Canis lupus familiaris: one gene and its partner. The protein of the gene in region 1 interacts with the protein of each later gene in a pairwise test. Links are inferred from orthologs where the notes say so. Each region holds a gene or a part of one and is shown on either strand. Other genes may lie near its edges.

Region 1 (3,976 bases):
ACACATACGTACGTCTATGCTTCATCTATATCTGTATCTCCATCTACATGTAATGCATATGCTAGGTTGGAATCGTGTTTTCCAGACTTTCCAGAACACAGGCACCCAGAGGCTGCTTTGGGCGGACAAAATTTGGAGTGGCTGCTCCAGAAGCAGGCTCAGGGTCTGTCTGCGACAGGCTGGCACTCTGATGAGGTGCAGAGGAGAAATATTCTCCTTCCACTCACCTAGTGAAGGATGGAGAGATTCCTGAATAAGTAGATATCCACGCGGTGCTGTGTATGTGGCTGGGGGTGAAACTGGGATTCAAAATCACATCGGCGCAGCTCCTTTCACTATCTTCACTGAGATAGTCCTTCACTACCTGCCTACACAACAGGGCCTCTACTGGGAAACGTCTTCCCGCCTCCCCCAACAGGCCCAGAATACCTACAGATGATCCCTCTGTCTGTGGTCCCAGGGCATTACTGCACCGCACGTAGCTGGTTGCACACAACTAATTCACAATGTTTGATCAAATTGAGAGTAGAGCTCCTCTCATCTGCACTCCTAGTATCTCCCATGGAAGCAGGCATGGGGTAATTAAATAGTATTTTTGAGCGCTCATTACGTGCCAGCAAAGGCTTTACATGCATTCTCTCATTTAAACCTTAAGACAACTCCATGAACGAGGTGATACTATTATTCCCATTTTGCCTTTCAGAACACTGAGGTCATAAGAGTTAACTGGATTAACTCCAGGGCACAGAGCGAGTGGAAAATAGTACCGAGATTCAAGTCTAATTCCCAGAATGTGCTCTTCGTCGCCTGTTCTGTTGTCACCATCTTGCTCTGAATGTTCCATGAGCAAATTCCTACTGTGGGGAGTGGTCCCAATCTGAAAAGCTCCCCCTCAGTCAAAGTCCCCTCTTTATGCCAAGCTCAAGTGTGAAGCTCCTGTCCCGTGGAGAGTCTTCTCATGTACGACCTCCACCCTCGGCCCCCACAGTGCATTCCTTCAGCACGCCTTGGCCACATGGTTTGCACCGTGCTCCGATATGTGGCCCAGTGCTGGGCACCCAGAATGCAGCTTATCAACATTTGGTGAACTGGATTCGGCGCCCAGGGATGGATGTAAACAGCGATAAATAACAAGGTGGCATATCGTACTGGATACTCTATTTCTGGATTTTCTAGGCGAATGAGTTCCAATTTCTAAAATCCTATCCTCCCATCGGATCATTGGCCACAGAATATGTGGCAGAGAATATAGCCTGGTATTTTGGTTTGAAGAAGCACCTGGCTGGCTCAGTCTGTTGAGCATCCAATTCTAAATTTCGGCTCCGGTGGTGATCTTGGGGTCATGCTCGGCAGGGAGTCTGCTTGAGGATTCTCTCCCTCCTCCCTCGCCCCTCCCCATGCTCTTGCTCTCTAAATAAGTAAGTAAATAAATAAATCCTTAAAAAAAAAAAGGTAGAGTCACCGTTCTACTGCAAAGAGGCAGGAATAGAGACAGGATGTGCCCTCTGTTACTCACCTACCCACATGTTGGCAGGCAAGTCAAATTTCCCTGGACCTAAGTCTCTCCGTGAGTAAAACTGCAATGGCAATACCTATTTCCACTACAGAAATGAAGCAAAATAGGTGAATATGTTTCGGATACTGATGAGGAATAATGTTATATGAATCCAATTACTGTTAGTGGGGTTGTTTATGTTTTTACTGACCTGTTGGACCAGTAAAAAACAAACAAACAAAAAACCCCAACAAAATAAAAGAAGCAGTTTTTAGTTTTGAAAATGAAGGAAGAAGTTTCTTGTGAAGAGTAGCGCAATAAAAAAAAATCAGGTATTAAAAATGTAGATATCCTGAGGGCCTTTCTGGAGTGTTTTGAAAAAGACATACCTAGACATTCTAGCTTTTGGCTGTCTTCAACAACTTGGAGGGGCGGTGTGGTGGGTGCTGGGGGGTGGGTGGTCGGGCTAAGGGTGGGAGGCTGGGCTGGGAGAGTTAGGAGCAAAGTGTCTCAAATCGCAAAGTGTCTCAAATCACATGAGATGTTCCCTGGAGGGGGAGGCGGGACTCTTACCTTTGCTGCACGGTGAACCGGTTCCCAGTCGTGTGAGGCCTCGGGTGGGGGGCAGTCCGCTTGGGAGCTGATCTTCTGTGGCCCAGGGAGATTTTCTCTCTCTTTCCTGTGTCTCCTCTTCCAGACAGGCATGAAAACCATTCGGCCTTGGAGGTAATCAGCTCACCTCCTGCCCCTTTTGCAAGGCTTTGTGTCATGCTGATCCATGAACCCGAGAGCAGCCTCCCAGGAGCTTCCAGGGAGAGCAGCCCCCCCACCGAGCAGCGCTCATTAGCATCAGTGACTAATCTGTTCTGGTCTGGAAGGGGCCCAGGCTCCCTTGACCGTCCCTGTGCTCTCAGGAAAAGCCAGGATCCTTTTGTTCACCTTTCGGCCTGCCAAGTCAGTCCTACCGCACCCCTGAATGTTGTTTTCCTGCAGGCAATGGGAAAATGAGCTGGGAGCCAGAGAAGGGAAATCAACAAGGAAGTAAACACAGGGTTCACTGCACCTTCAGGTCCAGGTCGTCCCCAGGGCCTGGGACATCCTCGTGCTGGGACCAGTTCCTCAACAGGCAGGGGCTGCTGCCTGGACGGGCCTCAGAACCCTGGGCGTCTTCTTATTTTTAATTATGCAGAGAAGCATGAGCTGAAATGGGTATCAGACAAATCAAGGCATCCCGACTCGTTCCACGGCCTTGCCAAGACTTTAAAAGATTTTCCATAGGCAGCATCTCTTATAACGGAACACGGCCTGATGTTTGTCAGACAAAGAAGAAAAAGATGAGCAAGTTCATGGCTGATATTAGTTAAGACCTTTAACTCTAAAGAGACAGGACTGTTGTTTAAATAAAAGGTAAAAAAAAATAAAATAAAAAAAGCAGTTTTTATTTTTGAAAACGAAGGAAGAAGTTTCTCGTGAAGACTAGCACAATAAAAAAAAAATCAGGTTTAAATAAAGGTTTCTCCTACTTACTCGTGAACAGCGGGGTCAGCATCCGCAGCCCAGCAGCATCTCTGCCAACATCTGTCGAGGGCTGACTGGCTGCAGGGTCCTGTGCCATGGCCTGACCTGCATTATTATCTCATTTACTTCTCCACATAGTCCTACAGTTATCATTCCCATCGTATAGGCGAAGAAACGAAGGATTCGAGAGCAAAGTGCTCCGGCCAAGCGCTCCAGAGAGGTGTGAATGGAAAAATTGCCCTTTTGGAAGTGTGGCCTTCCCCACCAGTCAGCTTCAGGACTTCTGTTCACTGGCATCTCTGGCGATGGCCAAAGAGCTTGCTCCCTGGGGCTGTGAGTTCGATGCCATCTTTATATAACTTGTTTGTAGCACACACCGGGCTGGGCACCTCCTCTTGTCTCAACCACAGTGGGGCTGCTGGCTGCTATAGACCCGGCTCCCCCCTTGGGGCTCCTATTTACGCACAAGGAAGTGGGCTACAAATCTCTGGGCCTCTCTGTGTGCTTTGATCATGGTCTGATTGTGAGTATGCCCTTCTGGTTTTAGGAGCCTAACAGTTATGAGCTTCTTTTAATCAATAATCCAAGGGATGAATGACAAGGAGTTCACAGCCTGAAAACCTCTCCCTGGTGAGAAAAAAAAAAAAAAACACAAACCAGCACATGTGTTCCCAGTCCTCAGGTCACACTGCAACGTGTTTTGGTTTTATTGGCCTCCTCCTTACTTCCAATTGTTAGCATTTAGCTCTCCTGTGCCACGGCGGTTCCCCGGGACAGCTGGCCGCTGGTCAAAGGAAAGTAAAACCGTTAATTAGGAGACAAGGAGATGCCTCCCAGCGGGGTCAAAGTTGTCTGTTTTTGTAAATATAGGAGTTGCGACATCAGGGCAGTTGCTCACCCTTGTTACCCTGGGGTTGGTTTGGGTGGAGCTTTGGGGTGTCTGGCTCTGAGGCCACATAGGCC
Region 2 (8,106 bases), on another chromosome or scaffold:
TCCTTCATGTACTGCGTGGAGCGTGACTCGTCCAGAAAGAGCGAGTAGACCCGTTTGATGTCATCTACCTGTACTTCCGTGCCCTGATAGGGAAAGGCCAGATCTCAGTGGGGCCCCTCCCAGTGCGGCAGGTCAGGGTGAAGACCCCCGGGCCAGACTGCTTGGGCCTGAATCCTGCATCGGCCACCTCCCGGCTGAGGGTCCAACCCCTCCGGTCCTTAGTTTCTTCATCTGTAAGATGGACTTGACGGCATTAACTTTGAGATGAGAGACATCTATGAAGCACCTGCTATGTGTCAGGCGAGGAAATACAGGTATAAACTCCGCAGACCCAACTTCCCAGCCTTTGAAAACCTATGTTCTGGGGCTAAATGCAACAACGCCCTCCAAGCCCTTGGAGTGAGGAGTAGGTCACTCACTTGGGCGGGCCCCGGGGGTTACTGGGCTAGCTGACCTTGCGTTTCCGGCACACCAGGCTGGCAGCTGTGATAAGCTGGATGGCGTAGCGTAATGAGGTCTCCAGGCCGATGCGCGTCAGCACCGTGTAGGCGTCCTCACTCATTTCTACGTCTTCCTCTTCACACCTGTGGGCAGGTGGGGCGGGGTGGGGTGGGGTGGGGTGTGGTCAGCCAGGGCCAGGGCTCTGACTGCAGCAAACCCCTGGCTGGCGCTTCCCCCTGGGCGCTGTTGAAGTCCTGGGGGACATGTGGAGTCTATGTTCACAGAACCACAGAACGGCAAGCAAGAAGGGCCACTGAGGCATGGGCTGGACCTGTCACCTGGGCTTCCAACCCTCTCCAGCCAGGGCTCTTTCCCCAGTGTCAGCCACTGGCCCACCACCAGATCTGAGGCCATTGCTTGGTTGCCCAGCCCAGCCCAGCCCTACCTCCTGCAGGCCCAGAGACCTACCCCTTCAGACCTCACTGCCTCCACTTGCCAAATAGGGTGGGTGCCAGCCCTGCTTCTCAGACCCGTAGCCTGGTCCTGCCCCAGAACCCCAGGCGGCCCTGCCCATACCGGATGCGTAGGATCTGCTTTGTGTCCTTCTCACTGTAGGGAGAGGTGGAGACAATGAGCAGTCGGTCTAGTAGGTCGATGGGGATGCCATGGGGGCTCTGGTAGCTGGTACCCCGGATCCTGGGGAAGAGGAGAAAGGGAGGGTGGTCAGGGTGATGCTCCCAGAACCCAGGTCTCCATTTCCTCTACTTAAAATACCCCACCCACCCTCTCCATCACAGCCCACTCACTGGGCAAATATCACCTAACCTTCAGCTCATGGCTACTGTCATCACCAACTGTGCAGCTGTCCCCCAGCTGTGTCACCACCCCCGCCCACAGAAAACTGGGTTGGTCTGAGCTAGGTATCTATATCCAGGATTACTGAGTCAAGGTCTCACTCCTCTGCTTGACATAGAGCTCCACAGGTAAGAGACTGTGATGGTCCTATTCTGTGCTATTCGTGCTGCACCTGGCCCAGAGCAGGCCCTGGCACATGGCAGTGCCAGGAGAGAGTGGATTCTTGTAATTTGTGGTAGTGACATTCTATTAAGTGGGGGGGGGGGGGGGGGGCAGACACTCACTAGCAAATGATGAACCACTGCTTCTTGGAGATGTATGTGGTAGGTTCTTGTGAGCCTTTGGTCACAGTATTTTTGTCAACCAACCAATATATAACCTGGTTCTACGTGCTTCTGTTTAAAGACATCTTATTTAGCATACACTACTGACCCACTCGCATTGAACTCGTGGCAGACAGCACTCTACATCATGCCTGGAACGAAGCTCATCTGACACACACACTTTCTCTGTAAGGCACATCCATCCTCGCCTTGTGCCTGGGCAACTAGGGGGCCCTTTTAAATCCCAAATCATTAATAAAAAGCAGATAACACGGCATGAAAAGGACACTCAAAAAAAAAAAAAAAAAAAAAAAAAAAGAAAGAAAGAAAGAAAGAAAAGGACACTCATTTACAGCAGGTGAGCTGTAACCAGAAAGCAGGCAGGGCGCCAACTTGCTGGACCTTAGATTAGAGGGTCCACACCCAGTCACACAGGAGCACCAGAGTTGCCAGCACTGATGGGGGGGGGGGGGTAGGGGAGAGGGGCTTACAAATCCATTTAAGTGAGAGTACGTAGTAGACTCAAGAATACATTTTATGCAGATAACAGAGGAGCGACTTGGGTTTGTGCCCTGGCCCAGGATGTGCCCCGCGTGCAGCTGCCATACATTTACCCTCAGCTGGCCCCTTCCTATCTTCGTTAGGAGAGGCAACTCTGGCTCTGACACCTTCTCCATGCAACCTCAGGCACGTCACCAGGCCTTGCTATCCTCTGTAACGTGGGGCTGAGACAATATCCACCTCCTGAACTTCTTTTAAGGGTCAGAGCTGTTCACCCAGGAAACAAGCCACAGAAAATCTGCCCCTTTGTCCTCTGTAATGATGGCCACCCTCTACCGACCAGTTTTAGCTGCCACATGGCCACAGCACTGGAGAAGACATTCCTCAGCTTCCAGAGCAGCCAGGGTGGTGCTGGGCAGTGGGTGACGGTGGAAGTGCTAAGTGCACCCTCCAGGCCCCAGCTTCCCAGGGGAGCTGTTTACCACCCACTTCCTTCTCCCTGTCCACCAAAATACAGATGAGGCAGAGAAGAAGACCAGCTGGGACAACAGGACGAGAGGTGCTGGCAACACCCTAGGGCACAGATTCCCAGAACCAGGTGAGCTCCATGGCTCTAAAATTTTCCCCCGGCATTCTTAGGCCAAAAGCAATATTAAGTTTTGTTCTATAAGGTCGTTAGGGCTAAATGACCTAACTGTAGTGATGCAGGCAGTGTCAAACACATCTGTCTCTGTGCATCCCTCAGAAACTCAAAACATGGGACGCCTAGGTGGCTCAGCGGTTTGGCATCTGCCTTCGGTTCAGGGCGTGATCCTGGAGGCCAAGGATCGAGTCCCACATCAGGCTCCCTACATGGAGCCTGCTTCTCCCTCTGCCTGTGTCTCTGCCTCTGTGTCTCTCATGAATAAATAAATAAAATCATTAAAAAAAGAAAGAAGAAAGAAGAAAGAAAAGAAAAGAAAAGAAAAAAGAAAAGAAAGAAAAGAAAGAAAAGAAAAGAAAAGAAAAGAAAAGAAAAGAAAAGAAAAGAAAAGAAAACTCAGAACATCCCAGAGCACTCATGTGTTTTCAGCAGCATCCTGGCATGCCTTGGCACACAGTTTGGGAACTTGAGCCTCAAGGGCTACAGGAACTAAAATACAGAAAGAACATGATCCTCAACTTCCTGATGGAGCAGAACTGCCTGCCTACCGCCCTGAGCACCCGCCTGCTTTGTTTTAGGGAGAAGCTAAAAGACAAACTTTGTCTAGGCCCCCGTACATGGATAGCCTTGTGACACCAGCTAAGTCCATACCCTTCCTGACAGGGAACTCAACAAACATTCCCTGTTTACCCTGTGCCCATACCCACTACCTGGAGCACCCTGTTTCTCCCAGAGACCTCTGGGGAGGCCAGCAGCTGGCTCACCGGGTGATGCCTCGGTTGGTGGCCATGATGAGGACGGGCGCCATGTCACTCTCCAGGGCCCGATTGAGGAAGGAGAAGCTCTCAATGTCCAGCATGTGGACCTCGTCGATAAACAGCACCTGGGAGCCATTGGGGCATGTGTCAAACCTACCCAAGCCTCTTTCCTCCCATTTGCTCTCACTGTGAGCCGCCTGCCCTGGCCACACCCTGGTACTCACGCCAGGGATGATCTCAGCCTTGCCCTCCTCACGCCACTCGGCCACCTTGGCATTGATCTGCTCTCGGACTTCTGACTTGATCTCCCCTGTGTCGCCTGAAGGAGGTGGGGGTGACACAGGGAGTGTCAGAGAGGAGACAGGGACAGAGGGCCGGAGAGTGGACAGAGAGAAATGAAGATGGGACACCAGGGATAGAGGGAAGAGAGATCAAAACTGGAGTGGCAAAGTGACAGAAGGAGTGTCTCATTCGGTCTGCAATGTCCCAGAGAAGAAGACCCGAGGCAAAGAACCCAGGAAGAAGAGAGGGTAGGACATGCAAGCCCCCATTGGGACTATCCAAGAGGGAATGAGGGCAACAGTGTGGGTAGGACGAACCAGGGGGCTGTACTGGAGGTAGGAGGAGCAGTGTGTGCCATGAACAGAGCCAGCCTGCTGGGCCTCACCTGAGAAGAGAGCCAGGAAGCCCTGGGTGCGGGAGTTGATGACATCAATCTCATGCAGGGACACGGTGTGTACGACCTCCTTGCGTTTCTGGAGCTCTCCGTCTGGACACTGCACAAACTTGGTCTATGGGGCCAGGGGGCAGGGAGGGAGAGGTAAGAGTAAAGAAGAACATGAAAGGGGGCCCAAAGGGGCTGTCTGGGTGGAGAGTTGGGGGAGATTGGACTTCCTGGGGTAGAGCTAAGAATCCAGAAATCCCAGGTCCAAGAGGAAGTTACCACCAGGGCACTCGAGAGCACTGAAGGATCGGAGGTTACTGGAGGACCTCAGAAACCATGAGCAAACTGCAAAGATGAAGTGCCCTCCTTGTCCTGGTGGGTACAGGGAAGAACCAGGAGTAAGGGACATGGGGTGGGGCTACTGGAGGATCCGGACCCTCTGGGCCATGGGGGTGATAGAGGAGATGCAAACATCCTGGTGCCTGGAGTGAGCGGACCCCCAAAGCCCTGGCCCACCTGGGAGCCCATGGCATCATAGTCGCGAGCGCGTGTGAAGGAGCGGCCCAGCTTGGAGATCTTGCCTGTGGCCTTGTCGATGGTAATCACATCCCTGCATGTGGAGGAGGGTGGGAGTGAGGACATGAAAGGGCTCGAGATTCCCCCACCCTGACCACCTACCATGGCCCCCTGCCACTCACCCAGCCTGGACCTTGTCCTTAGTCAGGGACTCAATCATCTTGGTGCCCAGGTCGTATATAGTCTCCATCTCTGTGGTCTTGAGGGTCAGCTTGCCGACCTTAGAGCCCTGAGATGGGTGACAGGCCAGCCAAGGAGTTCAGAGGGGGCCCATTGTCTCCCCAACACAGCTTGGAAATGGGCATGACACAGGGATGCTTTAGGGGGCAATGGACTGTGGATATGTCAAAACTTAACATCCTATAAACTCTTTTAAAAATTATTTATTTATTTATTTATTTGAGGGAGGGAGAGGCACTGGTGGGGCTCAGTGGTTGAGAATCTATCTGCCTTTGGCTCAGGTCATGATCTCCAGGTCCTGGGATCAAGTCTACATCAGGCTCCCCACAGGGAACTTGCTTCTCCCTCTGCCTATGTCTCTGCCTTGCTCTCTGTGTCTCTCATGAATAAATTTAAAACATCTTAAAAAAAAAAAAAAAAAAAAAAGAGTGAGAGACGGGCAGCAGGGAGGAAGCGAGGAAGAATCTGACACAGACTCTGCACTGAGTGCAGAGACCAACGCAGTACTCAATCCCATGACCATGAAATCGTGAGATCATGACCTGAGATGAAACCAAGCTTCAGGGATGCCTGAGTGGCTTAATGGTTGAGTGTTTGCCTTTGGCTCAGGTCGTGATCCCAGGGTCCTAGGATTGAGTCCCACATTGGGCTCCCTGCATGGAGTCCGCTTCTCCCTCTGCCTGTGTCTCTGCCTCTCTCTCTCTCTGTGTCTCCCATGAATAAATAAATAAAATCTTTATTTAAAAAAATAAATAAATAAATAAAAGAAAAGAAACCAAGCGTCAGACGCACTACCAAGCCACCCTGGTGCCCCAACATCCTGTACTTTCACTGTGTGCAGCTTATTGTTTGTTGGTTGCTCAACAAACCGATTACTAAAAACCCAGGAAGATAACAAACAACAACTTACCTAAAAGATAAAGTCTTTAAGAACAGCAACATGGACTAGAGGGCCCTGATGTGGGGAGGTGGGAGTGTGCCACACTCTAACATTCCTTGTTTTATGTCCACGTAACTTGTGTTTTTTTTTTTTTTTTATTAGTCACAAACCCAGAAAACAGAGCTAAGCTAAACACAGCTAAGAAAACAAAAATACCACACTTTCTCCCCACAAAATAAGCACAGTCAGTGTCTTCCAGCACATCCACTTGTCTCTTATTTCTAGTGAGCTGTTCTTTTTGTAGGGAAAGATGGCAGGACAAAAGGGCTGGAATTCAGGAGGAAGAGAGAGATGGTTTTGGTTTTACATTTTTATTTTATTATATTTTAAAGATTTATCGATTTATTTACATAATCTTTACATCAGAGGCACCCGGGTGGCTCACTTGGTTAAGCATCTGACTTTGGCTCAGGTCATGATCCCGGAGTCCTGGGATCAAGCCCCAGCTCTGGCTCCCTGCTCAGCAGGAAATCTGCCTCTCCCTCTCCCTGTGCCCCCACTTATGCTCTCTATTAAAAAAAAAGAAAAGAAAAAAGAAATCTTAAAAATGGGCAATCTTGACTAATGCATGGGAATGCATTGCTGGGTGATAAAACCAATGACACCCAAGAAGTGAAAACAGGCAAGGGCAGCCACCCTTGTGAGGATGTGGGGTGTTGTAGAAAGAGCAATGAGGTAGGGATGGGAGCTGGCAAAGTTCTTTTTTTTTTTTTTTTCTTCAAAGTTCTAATTTCTTATCTTGGTGGTAGTTCTAAGGAGATTTGTTTTATAATAACATACTAGACCATTCGCTTATTTTACGTGCTTCTTTACATCTGTTGCAATTTACAACAAAAATGTTGGGGCATTTGGGTGGCTCCGTGGTCGAGCATCTATCTGCCTGTGGCTCAGGTTGTGATCCCAGGGTCCTGGGATCGAGTACCGCATCAGGTTCCCTGTGAGAAGCCTGCTTCTCCCTCTCCCTATGTCTCTGCCTCTCTCTCTCTGTGTCTCTCATGAATAAATAAATCTTAAAAAAAAAAAAAAAAAAGTTAAAATTCTTAGCTGAAAAAAAAAAAAAGGGAGCAAATCACCATGACCATGTAAGCTGGATAGGAAACACCTTTTAGGGCTAAGCTGCATAAAATCTCACAGAACAGGTTCTTAAGCCTAACCATTAACTGTGAGATGAACACTAGGTGTTTACCATGACATGTTGGCAAACTGAATTTAAATTATTTTATTTAAGATAAATTTTAAAAAAGAAAAAGAAAGAAAGAACGAACTGTGAGAGGGACACCTGGCTGGCTCAGTGAGAACAGCATGCAACTCTTGATCTTGGGGTCATGAGTTTGAGCCCCGCATGTTGTAGGCAGAGATGATTTAAATAAATAAAAGTTAAAAAAAAAATTTAAGTGTGAGGAACTTCCAGACCTTCTCTGTCATGACACCACTTGCTTTTAACGGCTCAGGGCGTCACTCACAAGTGGATAAACTGGGGCGCCTGGGTGGCTCAGTGGTTTAGCGCCACCTTCAGCCCAGGGCGTGATCCTGGAGACCCAGGATCGAGTCCCGTGTCAGGCTCCCTGCATGGAGCCTGCTTCTCCCTCTGCCTGTGTCTCTGCCTCTCTCTCTCTGTGTCTCTCATGAATAAATAAATAAAATCTTAAAAAAAAAAAGTGGATAAACTGTCAATGACCCCCACAGTACACAGTAGAGGGCTCTGACCTGCAGCTCAAACATCCAACATCCCTTGGGTTCTGGCACCCCATCCTCCAGCCCTGGAGGTGGCCCAGGCTCAGCAGCAGACTCACCGTCCCTGTGGCTGGACGGTCAATCTGGATCTCCACCACTTCCCCTTCAATGATCTCAGTCTCCTCCCTAGGCGGAAAACGGATGTGAGCAGAGAGCCCGAGGCCCAGGCCCTTGCAAATGGCTAACTCCCATGAGCCCTTAGGCATGGGACAAGCCGGACAGGGCAGGCAGGGGTCATCCCAAGGCCACTGCAAGCTAACTCCATCCCCCACACCGGGTCCTGTGCTTACTTGATTCGAACGCCAATAGAGCGCCGGAAGGCCTGGGTCAGTGCCTCTGTCTTACTCATCTCCAGCGAGAAGATCTCACTGCCCGCGATGGCTGTGAACGGGGTGTCAGGGCCCAGGGCCTGTGCCATGCCTGGGGAAGAGGTGGTCTGGGTAAGTGGGGACAGCCTGGCACCAGGTCCCCAACACCTATTCTGTGTCAAA

Evidence for each region.
Region 2: the proteins of LNX1 (region 1) and RUVBL2 interact in binary tests that used the Homo sapiens proteins (3 or more experiments, as listed by UniProt). The two-hybrid records come from large-scale screens. The link is inferred for Canis lupus familiaris from reciprocal best matches to the Homo sapiens genes LNX1 and RUVBL2.

Annotation. Positions count from the first base shown.
Region 1 is NC_049234.1:46,944,372-46,948,347, forward strand, and holds the start of LNX1 (E3 ubiquitin-protein ligase LNX), read right to left. Parts: upstream 2,801-3,976; 5' UTR 2,069-2,800; intron 1-2,068.
Region 2 is NC_049222.1:108,058,804-108,066,909, forward strand, and holds part of RUVBL2 (ruvB-like 2), read right to left. Parts: intron 8,036-8,106; coding exon 7,906-8,035; intron 7,742-7,905; coding exon 7,675-7,741; intron 4,991-7,674; coding exon 4,884-4,990; intron 4,796-4,883; coding exon 4,702-4,795; intron 4,313-4,701; coding exon 4,189-4,312; intron 3,841-4,188; coding exon 3,746-3,840; intron 3,647-3,745; coding exon 3,528-3,646; intron 1,138-3,527; coding exon 1,018-1,137; intron 585-1,017; coding exon 455-584; intron 84-454; coding exon 1-83. UniProt on the Homo sapiens protein: Possesses single-stranded DNA-stimulated ATPase and ATP-dependent DNA helicase (5' to 3') activity; hexamerization is thought to be critical for ATP hydrolysis and adjacent subunits in the ring-like structure contribute to the ATPase activity.